Oryctolagus cuniculus: one gene and its partner. The protein of the gene in region 2 purifies or fractionates together with the protein of the main gene of each other region. This does not show direct contact. Links are inferred from orthologs where the notes say so. Each region holds a gene or a part of one and is shown on either strand. Other genes may lie near its edges.

The links.
Region 1: the proteins of USP18 (region 2) and STAT2 purify together in Homo sapiens (affinity purification with western blotting; 6 studies listed by BioGRID and IntAct, with this or other methods). This does not show direct contact. The link is inferred for Oryctolagus cuniculus from reciprocal best matches to the Homo sapiens genes USP18 and STAT2.

The regions. Positions count from the first base shown.
Region 1 is NC_091442.1:59,155,725-59,160,455, reverse strand, and holds the end of STAT2 (signal transducer and activator of transcription 2), read left to right. Parts: intron 1-160; coding exon 161-343; intron 344-1,176; coding exon 1,177-1,234; intron 1,235-1,795; coding exon 1,796-2,100; intron 2,101-2,408; coding exon 2,409-2,551; 3' UTR 2,552-3,554; downstream 3,555-4,731. UniProt on the Homo sapiens protein: Signal transducer and activator of transcription that mediates signaling by type I interferons (IFN-alpha and IFN-beta).
Region 2 is NC_091440.1:88,894,015-88,901,220, reverse strand, and holds the start of USP18 (ubl carboxyl-terminal hydrolase 18), read left to right. Parts: upstream 1-3,194; 5' UTR 3,195-3,435; intron 3,436-4,346; exon of another isoform or gene 4,347-4,370; intron 4,371-7,206. UniProt on the Homo sapiens protein: Interferon-induced ISG15-specific protease that plays a crucial role for maintaining a proper balance of ISG15-conjugated proteins in cells. Regulates protein ISGylation by efficiently cleaving ISG15 conjugates linked via isopeptide bonds.

The DNA of each region.
Region 1 (4,731 bases), on a different chromosome or scaffold from region 2:
AGCCGCCCTGCCCTGCCCCGACCTCCCCGCAGCCTCACCCTTCTGCCCCCCAGCCTGCCCTTGACTTCTCTGGCTCTGTCCGGGGTTGGGCGGCCCAGGCACGGGAGCTCCCGGGCCAGGCCGGTTCCCTCAGGCCCGCCTGCTCCTGCTCCCCCTCCAGATAAGGTGCTCATCTGCTCAGTGCAGCCCTACACCAAGGAGGTGCTGCAGTCGCTCCCGCTGACTGAAATCATCCGCCACTACCAGCTGCTCACCGACGAGAACATCCCCGAGAACCCACTGCGCTTCCTCTACCCCCGAATCCCCCGCGATGAGGCTTTTGGATGCTACTACCAGGAAAAAGGTGGCAACCGATTTGTTTATTTACATATTTATTTACTCACATGTATTTAGTAAAAAGGCAGAATGATAGAGAGGGATTTCTGTTCACTGCTTCACTCCCCAGATGCCCACTAATAGCCAGGCCTGGGCCTGAGCAAAGCCAGGAGTCAGGAACTCCATCTGGAGTCTCTTATGTAGGTGGTGGGGCCCCAAGCACTTGGGCCATCATCTGCTGCCTTCCCAGGCATATTAACAGGGAGCTGGTTCAGACTGCAACATAGGATGCTGGCATTGCAAGCAGCCGCTTAACTGTGCTACATGGTGGGACTTGTTAACATACTTGATTACTAGATTGCAGGAATTCTCAGACATCATAAATCCAGCTCCATTTCAAACATGGGAAAATGATATCCAGGGGCCAGCATTGTAGCATAGTGGTTTAAGCCACCACCTGCAACACTGGCATCCTATATGAGCACTCGTTCGAATCCCAGCTGTTCCACTTCCAATCCACCTCCCTGCCATTGCACCTAGGAAAGCAGCAGCAGATGACCCAAATGCTTGGGCCCCTGCCATCCACATGGGAGACTCGGGTGGATTTCCATGCTCCTGGCATAGCCCCTGTCATTTGAACCATTTGGGGAGTGAACCACTAGACAGAAGACCAACCTGCTTTTCAAAGAAACCAATAAATCTTTAAGGAAAAAAAAAATGATACCCAGAGAAGTGAAGGGATTTGTTGATGGGACCCTGCTAGCCCACAGGGAGGTGTGACAGCCAGGACCACCTGTACTGGGAGACCTGTGGGCCGTGTGTGCACCCCACTGACCCCAACTCCTTGTATGGCCCTCACAGTTAATCTCCAGGAACGGAGGAAATACCTGAAACATAGGCTCATTGTGGTCTCCAACAGGTGAGGTGTGAACTCTGCCCATCCTCCTTGATCCTTTCAGGCTGTCAGAGCGACTCTAACCTGCCCGATTCCAGCCCTCCCCCTCTCCCCCCAGCAGGCTCCCTGTGCTGACCCACACTCTCCGGCCCTCTGGCTTTCTCTGGTTCTTCTAGTCTTTGTCCTCTGTTGTTTCTTCCCTGCTGCCATCCTCATATCTTCACAGTGGTTCCCCGGGAAGAGAGGCTATGCTTGCTGGTAGCAATGGTCGCCCACCTGATGCCAGGCGTAGTACTAGATGTTTTAAGAACCTTTGATCATTTAATCCTTGTGAGAACCCGTCAGAGCAGGTGGTAATCAGAGCCACGTTTATGGAAAGCTTCCTACACGCCAGCACCGGGCTGAATGCTTTGTGTTCACTTTCCCTTTCTCTTGAATCTTCGCCAGTGGTCCTGTGAGGTAGCCATTGTGATCATCGTTGTCGTCTGAGGAGACGGATGTTCGGAGTGGGGAAAGAGGCATGCCTAGGGCACGTGGCTACAGGTGACCCGGGTTCATCAGATTCTCCTGTCTTGGTGTTTGCAGACAGTTGGATGAGCTGCAGCCACCGCCACTACCACTGCCACTGGAGCTGGAGCCAAAATTGGAGCCGTTAGAGCTGGAGCCGTTAGAGCTGGAGCCGGGGCTAGCACCAGGCCTGGAGCTAGCGTTAAGCCTGGAGTTAGGGACCCTGCTGGAGACAGGGCTGGACCTGGGGCTGGAGCCCACGCTGGGCCTGGTGCCACAGAGCATGCCAGAGCCAGACCTGCTTCCTGACTCCCAGCCAGGGCCGGAGCCAGAAGCAGATCTGCCCGGCGACCTGAGACACTTGAACACTGAGGAAATGGAAAGTAAGTGAGGGGATGTGGCTAGGGCTGAGAGAGTGGCCACTCCGGCCTGCCCAGTGGTAGTCCCTCTGGCCTTCTCTCCCTTTCCCACCTTCCCTCCCTCACCTGTCACCGGTGCTGCAAGCTCCTCATTGGAGAAGGGCTCATTTCCGGGTCATACCTTTCATTAGGAAACACCCACGCCTTCCCATGTCCCCTGTTCCCCTGAGGTCCCGTCCAGGCCTTTTCCCACCATCCTCCCTCACTTTGCCTGCTGGGCTGGGGTCTCCCAGCTGAGATCGGGGCTTGACTTCTCGCTCTGGATCCTCTAGTCTTCAGAAACTCTGTGAAGATTGAAGAGATCATGCCCAATGGAGACCCGCTGTTGGCTGACCAGGACGCCACGGACGATACTTACATCTCCTGCCACAGCCACTTTGACTCCGATGGGCCCTTGGTTCCGTCTGACTACTAGGAACTGCATTTCCTCTGTCCCACATCTCTTGCTGCTCCTCCCCCCTCCCCACATCATGATGCTGCTCTCCAAGAGTGGGAGTGAGAGTGGGAGGTGAGAGCCTCACACGGACATGGAAGGGCACCCCGGGATCAGAGCAGATGCTGGCCGTAGTTCCTAGCAGGATCCCCGGGGCTACCTGCTGGGCCCGAAGCGTGGGCTTCTGGGGGCAGGCCAGGATAGTGGCAGGTGCTGGAAGATGCTCGGGCAGGGCTTCTTGCCAGCTTGGAAGGACTGTCGCATTGAATTCCAGGTAAGGCTGAGCTAGTGTACCCTGGCACCGGCCCTCGGCGGGGAGCACAGAGGCATAGCGGGACTGTTTTTCTGACTCAGCCCACCCAGGGAAGCTATACCCTGAGGACGGCAGTAGGAGGTAGCCCTGCTCTTCTCACTAGGCTCATCCCTTGCTCCGCCCCCTCAGCTGGCCACGTGCATTTCTCCCACAAGATGACTCAGCCAATCCACTGTGGCTGTGAAGCTTTGTACACTCACTCAAGTTGCTTAGTCTCCACTTCCCCAACACTTAGGGGACAGATTGCCACGGGAGGGCAGGGATGCCAGGAATTTAGGCATTGGTTTCAACGGCACTGGGTAGAGTTCAGGGATTTCTGGAAGAAGACAAGGGTTGGGTCTTACCTATTTTTCTACTACACTGTCATCCTCCTCCTTTATACACTGTTTTTACCTGAAGGGAAGGCTTCTCTTTCTTGGGAGTGGAGCTGGGCAAAGACCAAGTCCCTGGAACTTAGTGCCTCGAAGGTTTAACATAGACCCTGGACAACCTCACACCTCCGCCGCCCCCAGGGGTAACTGCCATTGTGCTAGATGTGCTTCTGGTGTAACTCGAGGTGGATGAAGGTGAGGCCCAGGCACGTGGCTGCTTCGTGTCTGCTGTGTCAGCACAACAGCCCCTCGAGGCCCCTCCCAGCAGCAAGAGCTAATAAACGTCATGCTGGCCTGGAAACTTTCATCTCTGCATGTCTTTACTTCTCTGCTCATAAAGGCCAATGTCCTGAGGCACATCAAGATACAGGAACAAGGTGGGCGAGCCGTGGCCTGTCTTCCACAAACCCCAGTATGCCCCACTCCTCACGGTTCTTCCCTCTCAGTTGGGAGCAGCTCCTCCTGTCCCTTAGCCTTGCTGTGGCTGTGACTACGTATGTGTCAGGGAAGAGGAAGAGTGGTTATTTAACTGTCCCACTGTCACTCTGCTGGTTGGTGGCAAAGCCAAGACAGGAACCTGGGGCTGGGCAACTCCAAAGCCTACATTCTCAATGCTGTGACTTTGGGGGAAAGGAAAGGAAATAACCACTAGCCCCTTCTCCTATTTTTTTTTCCAAAAATGTTTTGGCTCCCCTTGGGTAACCAAACTCTTGAAGAGGTCCACGGCTTTCCTTTATGGGAGAATCCTATTGGTTTGGGAGATGGACTTTCATCTTCCAGGAGCACCCTTCCTACTCAAAACTCAGCTCTCGGATCCCACAGTCCTCAGGACTCCTGTCTATGGCCAGATATACTCTTTTTAAAAAGATTTATTTGAAAGAGTTAGAGAGAGAGAGAGGGAGAGACAAACAGATCTTCCATCCACTGATTTACTTTCCAAATTTCTGTAACAGCCAGGGCAGGAGCCAGGAGTTTCATCCGGGTCTCCCACGTGGATGCAGGGGCCCAAGGACTTGGACCATCTTTACTGCTTTCCCAGGAACATTAGCAGGGAGCTGGATTGGAAGTGGAGCAGCCAGGATTCAAACCGGGGCCCATATGGGATGCCAGCATCGCAGGCAGTAGCTTTACTTGCTATGCCACAGTGCTGGCCCCTGGCTAGATAAATTCTTGGCCAAGAAAGCTGGGAAAGAGCCAATGGATCAAGAAGTGAGTGACCCCAGGTGTGCCCCCATTTCCTAATCTCAAGCTGTTCTATTTGCTCAGCCACACAGGGATTAATGTCAGAAAGATCCCAGTTTATGCCAGGGGCTCTGGAGAAAGTAGTATTTTATATGTTAGTCTTCAGAGGAGAAGCAAAGGATGAGAACTGAAGTCCCCCGGCCCTTCTTTCCCAGCTGAACCTAGAAATTAGACTCTCATAGGCACATAAATAAGTCTTTATTGGAAAAAATACATAATTCAGTATAAATATAATA
Region 2 (7,206 bases):
GCTTTGGGAGGCAGTAGGTAATGGCTTAAGTATTTGAGTCCTTGGCACCTACTTGGGAAACTCAGATTGAGTTCTGAGCTCCTGACTTCAGCCTGGCCCAACCTTGGCTTTTGTGGCCATTTTGGGAGTCAACCAGCAGATGGAAGATCTCTTTCTATCTCTCTGTCTCTGTCTCTCTGGCTTTCAAATAAAATGAAAAATAAACAAACAAGAATTTCTATTCTTTGAAAAACAGCCTAACAAACATTTGAAAGTATATTACTCTAAATAAGAGAAATGTAAATTAAAACTACTCTAAGACACCATATCATGCTCACCAAATTAGAAAAAATTAAAAGCTGATAAAATACTCAGTTGGTAAACCTGTGCACAAACAGGTACTCGTATACATTACCAGCAAGAATGCAAAGTGGTGTAATTGCTATGGTGAGCTTCCTTGTGTATAACAGAAGGGGAAATAAGAAAACATACATGAACATAACCTCCAATAGTTTTTTAAAATTTATTTTTTATTTTCATTCCTGAATTTATTAATTTTTTAAAAATTTTATTTAAACTATACAAATTTCATGTATTTCATATAATTAGATTCAGGGACATAGAGATATTTTCTATCCTATCCTCCCTCCCACCCACTCTCCTACCCTTTGTCTTCCTCCCTGTCCTATTCCCATTCTTATTTTTTATAGAGATCTGTTTGTGGTTAACTTTATACTCATTAAGACTTACCATGCACTAAGTCAAGAGTTCAACAAATAATATGAAGGGGAAAAAATTCTGTTCCTCAACAGTTGAGACAAGGGCTATTTAAAATCATTGCATCTCAAAGTGTCAATTTTAGTTACCACAAATCAGGGAGAACATGGAAACACAAGAGATCCAGAATAACTAAAGAAAACATACAACAAACACAAAGCTGGAGGCATCACAGATTTCAAGACATACTACAGGGCAATTATAATCAAAATAGCCTGGTACTGGCAAAAACGCACATTTAGACCAATGGAACAGAACAGAGACTCCAGAAATCAATCCACGAATCCACAACCAACTTATCTTTGACAAAAGAGCTAAAATCAATCACTGGAGCAAGGACAGACTCTTCAACAAATGGTGCTGGGAAAACTGGATCTGCATGCAGAAGTATGAAGCCAGACCCCTACCTTACACCTTACACAAAAATCCACTCAACACTAATCAAAGACCTAAATCTATAACCTGATGCCATCAAATTATTAGAGAACATTGGGAAAACTCTGAAAGACATAGGCATAGGCAAAGAGTTCTTGGAAAAGACCCCAGAAGCACAGGCCATCAAAGCCAATAGTTTCTAATGTATAGAACCTTCCATGTTTTCTTCTGATAAATAGGAACATAGCTCTACTGCCACCTCCTGGAATATATCTGCTCTTGCTTCGTAGTTGTTCATGACATTAGCCAAAGTTGAGCTTGCAGTTCTTTTGCTACACCTGGTGAGCCTTGCATTCTTCCCTGCTGTCCTCCATATCATTTATGTGTTTGGGAAATAGACCTTACAGCAATTAACATGAAATGTCTTCAAAGGGTGGAGAAAAGATAGGAAACAAAATAAAGAACTTTAAGACTTTTTTCAAACCAAATATTTCATGTAGGATACTATAATGTTGGCTTGTCATTAAAAACATGGATATAAAAAATTTAAAAAAGTATGGATGTGTAAGCAACTATGGTTGTGCTCAGTTTGTAGAGATGGAGAGTATATTTTACTGTGATAAAATAAGCAATACTGGAATATTAAAAAAATATACATGGAACTTCTCATTTTAACTGAAAGAAGCAAAGAAAGGATAAATAAACTGGTTATTATGGGATATATAAGGGAGAGGTGACAGTTCATTGTTCATACATTTTGACTTATGAAAAGATATAAATGTTTTAAAAATAATATGACAAAAAGATATACAAGTGTGGGACCCACATTGTGGCTGGTGTAGCAAGTTAAACCACTTGCGATGCCAGTATCCCAAGTTAGAGTCTTATTTTGAGTCCCAGCTGCTCCTCTTCCTATCCAGCTCCCTGCAATTGTACATGGGAAGGCAATGAAAGACAACCCAAGGACTTGGGCCTGTGTCACCTATGTAGGAGATCTTGATGGAGTTTCAGGCTCCTGGCTGTGGCCTGGCTCAGCTCCAGCTGTTGCAGCCATTTGGGGAGTAAAGCAGAAGTTGGAAGATTTCTTTCTCTCTGTCACTCTGCTTTTCAATTAAATAAATGACTGATGGGTAAGACTGAATATTCTGGGGCTGGCATGGTGGTGCAGAGGGTTAAGCCATATCCATCAGCCCTGGTGCATTAGAATCTGATCCAGCTCCCTGCTAATGTGCCTGGGAAAGCAGTGAAAGATGGTGCAAGTACTTTCATCCCTGAACCCTTATGGGAGACCGGGAAGAAGCTCCTGGCTTCTGCCTGGACCCGTCCTGGCCACTGCAGCCAACTGGGGGGTGAAGCAGGGTATAGAAGATCTCTCTCTCTCTCTCTCTCTCTCCCCCTCTTTCTGTAACTCTGCCTTTCAAATAAATAATTTTTTTTAAGAGATGGAAGGTTCTGGAATCAGGTCCTGTTTAGACCACTTAGAATTTTCTATCCTTTGCATTTTGTTTTAAAAATAGGGCTTGTATCGAGAGGCTGTGGTGTAGATAAAAAACAGGTTTCCAGATTAACGGAGAGCCTGGCACATAGTAGGGACCCGGGAGTGACAGGTCTGTCAGACTGTCCCAGCAGGAACTCTGAGGAGAAACAGCCGATCCATTGCCTTTCCCAGCCCTCCCTTTCCCTGCGGGGAGTCCGCGACGGTAACATGCCCTATTTCATCAAATCTGCAAGCCTGGGATGGATACCCGATTCAAGAGAGTATATCGTAATCTTCCGAAAGAAAAAATACGCTGCCGCACAGGTTAGAAAATGTCAAGTGGTTGTAACACGCATCCTAGCGGCAGAGACCTTAACATGTCAAATAAAAAGAAACGTGTGCTCTTGGAATCGTCAGCAATTGGCATTTGCAAGTACTGAAACCATAGCACAAATCAAACGCAAAGGCACACAGCACCGATGCGTTAGCTCACACGTGGCGAGTTGGGCTGGTCCCCACCGGCTGACCGGTAAGTAGTCGCTGCGAGCGCCCGCCGCGCCCTCCGGCCGCAGTCCAGCCTGCCTTTGAGTTTCACTTTCCATTCCGCGGGAAACGAAAGCCGAGAGGCGGGGGCGAGGCTCGCGCGCGGTCGCCTGGCGCCGCAGCGCAGAACTAACAGCTGAGCCTGGTGCTGCACGGTCGCGCCCGCCCTGTCTCCTGCCTTGGCTGCGGGCGGCTCTGCTTTCCCGGCTGCGTTCTCCGACAGAGCTGTCGCGGGGCAGGCAGCGAAGTAGCATTGGAGGCTTGACGCTTGCGTGGCACTTGAGGCAAGTGTGGGCTAATTTGCGGAGTTTTCTTTAGGAAAGACATCCAGCGGAGCTCCTGGGTAGTTAAGGGATGTATTTGGGCTTCGCGAATTATAAGGATCCGTTATCATTGCACGCATATGTAAAGCCAATGATTTTTTTTCTCAAGCGGCTAGATTTATTTGGGCTTTTATATGCCTTCGTGTTTAAAAAAAGAAGTTAACAAAGGTGTTGTAAGCTTGTAAAAAAATGTAAACATTGCAGACAATGTGTAAAGTAGAAACAGAAGTTTTTCTCAATGCGGTATCATTGTTGTGTATAATTTATCAGGAAGGCTTCTATGTGAAGGTCTTTAAAATTGATTTGTAATTAGCTTTCCCACTTAATAGTACATTATGGACATCTTTTTATGGAAGGACATATGGATGCATCAATGGTATTTTTTTAAACTGATGAACAATATGGAAAGGATGTTATGTATTTAAACAATGCTAGGACATTTCGGTTATTTCAAGTTTCTACTGGTATAGATGATGCAGCAATGATTCTCATTTTATATGTGCATTCTTACAAATGGACGAATATATTTGGAAAATTTCTCGAAGCAGAATTTCTCAGTCCGTGGACATACATGTTGAGAAATTTTAAAGATTTTGTCAAACTGTGCAAACAATGTTTTAGTTTTAATCCCTCTTTTCTCCTCTTTTTTTTCCTAGGAAGAAAGCCAAAAGGATTTTTAAACATAAAATTCCATTCTAAGGCCTGTGAAAATCTGTGTTCAGTGTATCTGAAAATTAACACAGTGGCTTGAATTTTGTACTTAACAGCACTGAGGTGCTATATTTTGAAACTGTTCCAGAAAACAGGGCAAATATTTTAAAACATTTAAAAACATTTCATATAAGGCTTTCTTTTTGGTGTTACATCATGCAGAGTGAGGTGGAGTGTTAAGGAAGGTATGTAGGAGATTTCCTGTGTTTGTAGAGCAAAATGGAAAGGAGAGTAACATAGGTGTCTGATTCCACCTTGAATTTCATTCTGTTAAAGAATGAAAACAAAAAGCTTTCTCTGGCTTCTCTCATTTACAATTGAAAATGTTTTGCGGAGCGGTGCTGTGGTGTAGCAGGTAAAGCTGTCACCTGCCGGTTCGAGTCCTGGCTGCTCCACTTCTGATACAGCTCCTTGCCAATGCAAGAATATGTCCCAAGTGCTTGGGCCCCTGCACCCACCTGGGACATGTTTGGGTTTTCAACCACACCCAAGAACGACAACCAAGACCACGCTCAGCAAAGAAAAGTTTAGTAGGGCAAAGAACTGCCAGGAATGGCCTCAGAGGGAGATGAGCTTGGGGCTCATGTGTAAGGCTGGGGTTTTATAGGGAACTTGTGTCAAGGGAGGAGGGAGAGAGGTGGGAGATGAATTGGAGCAGGCGAACAAAGGGATGTGGGGTGTGGGCTGGAGCAGCTGGAGAGGATACCAGATACCGTGAGACAGGGTGTTTCTGACACAGGGGGTCTCCGGGGCTGCCTGATTTGTAACTGGGCCAGTGATAGGGACTGGGAGGCACAGGATATCTGCATGATTTGTAGTTGGGACAAATTGTGGGAATGGTGAGGCTTTCCAGGAGCACGGTGCCTCTATGTTTTTCTTTTCCTGATGCCAGGAAAGAGTCGGGGAGATGTCTTGGACTCGTGTGGATTCAGGATTCTCATAGGAGACCTGGATGAAGTTCCTGGCTCCTGGCTTCAGATCAGTCCGGCTCTGGCCGTTGTGGCCATTTTGGGAGTGAACCAGTGGATGGAAGATATCTCTCTATCTCTGTCTCTGTCTCTCTCTCTCTCTGTAACTCTGCCTTTCCAAAAAAATAGTTTTGCAGTTTTCTCACTTTTGCACAATGATAGGCTTATGAAGAGGATAATGTTCAATGTAAGCATAGCCTCAAAGGAGATGAGTTCTACTCCTTCCATGGGGCTGTTTTGTTGGGAATGATAGGTGCAAGGTTCCTTATTATTTTGGGTTTAATCTGTGTGTTCAGCATATTACTATTACTCAACGAAGGCGGAAGTGTGAATAAATCATGAAAACTGAGATCTGAATTTGTTACTGCCATGATGAAGTGAGTATGGAAGACTTAAGTTATTAGGATTATTCCCTATGTGTACATTTTGTCCTCTTAAGGCCTTTGAAGTTGGAGTCGGTTTTTCTTCAGTGAGTCTAGTTATGAGTTAAGTAGTCAGAGACCCAGACTACTCCAGGTTTCCTGTGTGACGCCTCTGGCCATTGGCTCTCTCTCTGAAGAAGCTGACTGATTCTGAGGCCTATGCCAGTTATTGCTGTCACACACATCTATCCACATTTTTCTCTCCACATTTTCTTTTTAAAGATTTGCTTAATTATTTGAAAGGCAGAGTGAAAGAGAGAGAGAGAGATATTTTCCACTCCCCAGTGGTGGCTTAACCAGCTGGACCAATTAATTGAAGTATACAATTAATGGATTTCAACAGTAGATAGAGGGGCCAGCACTGTGGTGTAGAGGGTAAAGCCACCGCCTGCAGTGCCAGCATCCCATATGGGCACTGGTTTGAGTCCTGGCTGTTCCTCTTCCTATCCAGCCCTCTGCTATGGCCTGGGAAAGCAGTAGAAGATGGCCCAAGTGCTTCTGCCCCTGCACACACATGGGAGACTGGGAAGAAGCACCTGGCTCCTGGCTTCAGATTGGCGCAGCTCTGGCCATTGTGGCCATTTGGGGAATGAACCAGTGGATGGAAGACCTCTCTCTCTCTCTCTCCCTCTCCCTGCCTCTCTGTGTAACTCTGATTTTCAAATAAATAACTCTTTAAAAAAGAAAAACAAAACAGTGAATAGCCCACTATGCTACGGAGCATTAGAAGCTGTTCTTCCTATTCAACTGTACTCTGTACCTATTAATTCAGTTTTCTTCATCCCTTCCTCTCACACCCTTCTTAGACTCTGGTAAGCCCTTCCTCTGATTTTTTTTTATTTGACAGATAGAGTTAAGACAGTGAGAGAGAGAGAGACAGAGAGAAAGGTCTTCCCTCCATTGATTCACCCCCCAAATGGCTGCTACGGCCAGTGCTCCGCCGATCTGAATCCAGGAGCCAGGTGCTTCCTCCTGGTCTCCCACGTGGGTGCAGGTGCCCAAGCACTTGGGCCATCCTCCACTGCCTTCCTGGGCCACAGCAGAGAGCTGGACTGGAAGAGGAGCAACCAGGACTAGAACCCGGCGCTCATGTGGGATGCTGGTGCCACAGGCGGAGGATTAACCAAGTGAGCCATGGCGCCGGCCCCTGCTTCTTCTGATTTTAAGGATAAAAATTTCAGGAAGGTAGGGAACTAAGTGAATGTAGGACTTCGGGGACAGATTTTTTAGTGTTTTTTTGGCATGGGTTGGGTTTGGACATTCAAACACTCTCCTCCTTTCTCTGGTGGATGCCTTGTTTCATCTGCTTCCTTTTCTTGCATCTTCTCTGCCCACCGGCCTTTCTCCATCTTAGATCTTAAAGTTTCACTTAGATCTTTAAGTTTCTCCAACTTAGATCTTTAAGTTTCACTTTCCTTCCCCTTTGTTGCCCCACCTACTTACCTCCCTCTGTGATCAGCCCTACAAGTTTGCTGCATTTTTTCCCATTGTCTCTGGGACCAGGCCTGCCAGCCTGTTTAAAGGATATACTCCATTGGGTTTTAGGCCTCTTTTCTAGGGAAGTATTCACGAGATCTTGGCAGGACAATGTCTGGAAAATGCGGCTGGCTCCTTTCTGTTCTGTTTCATCA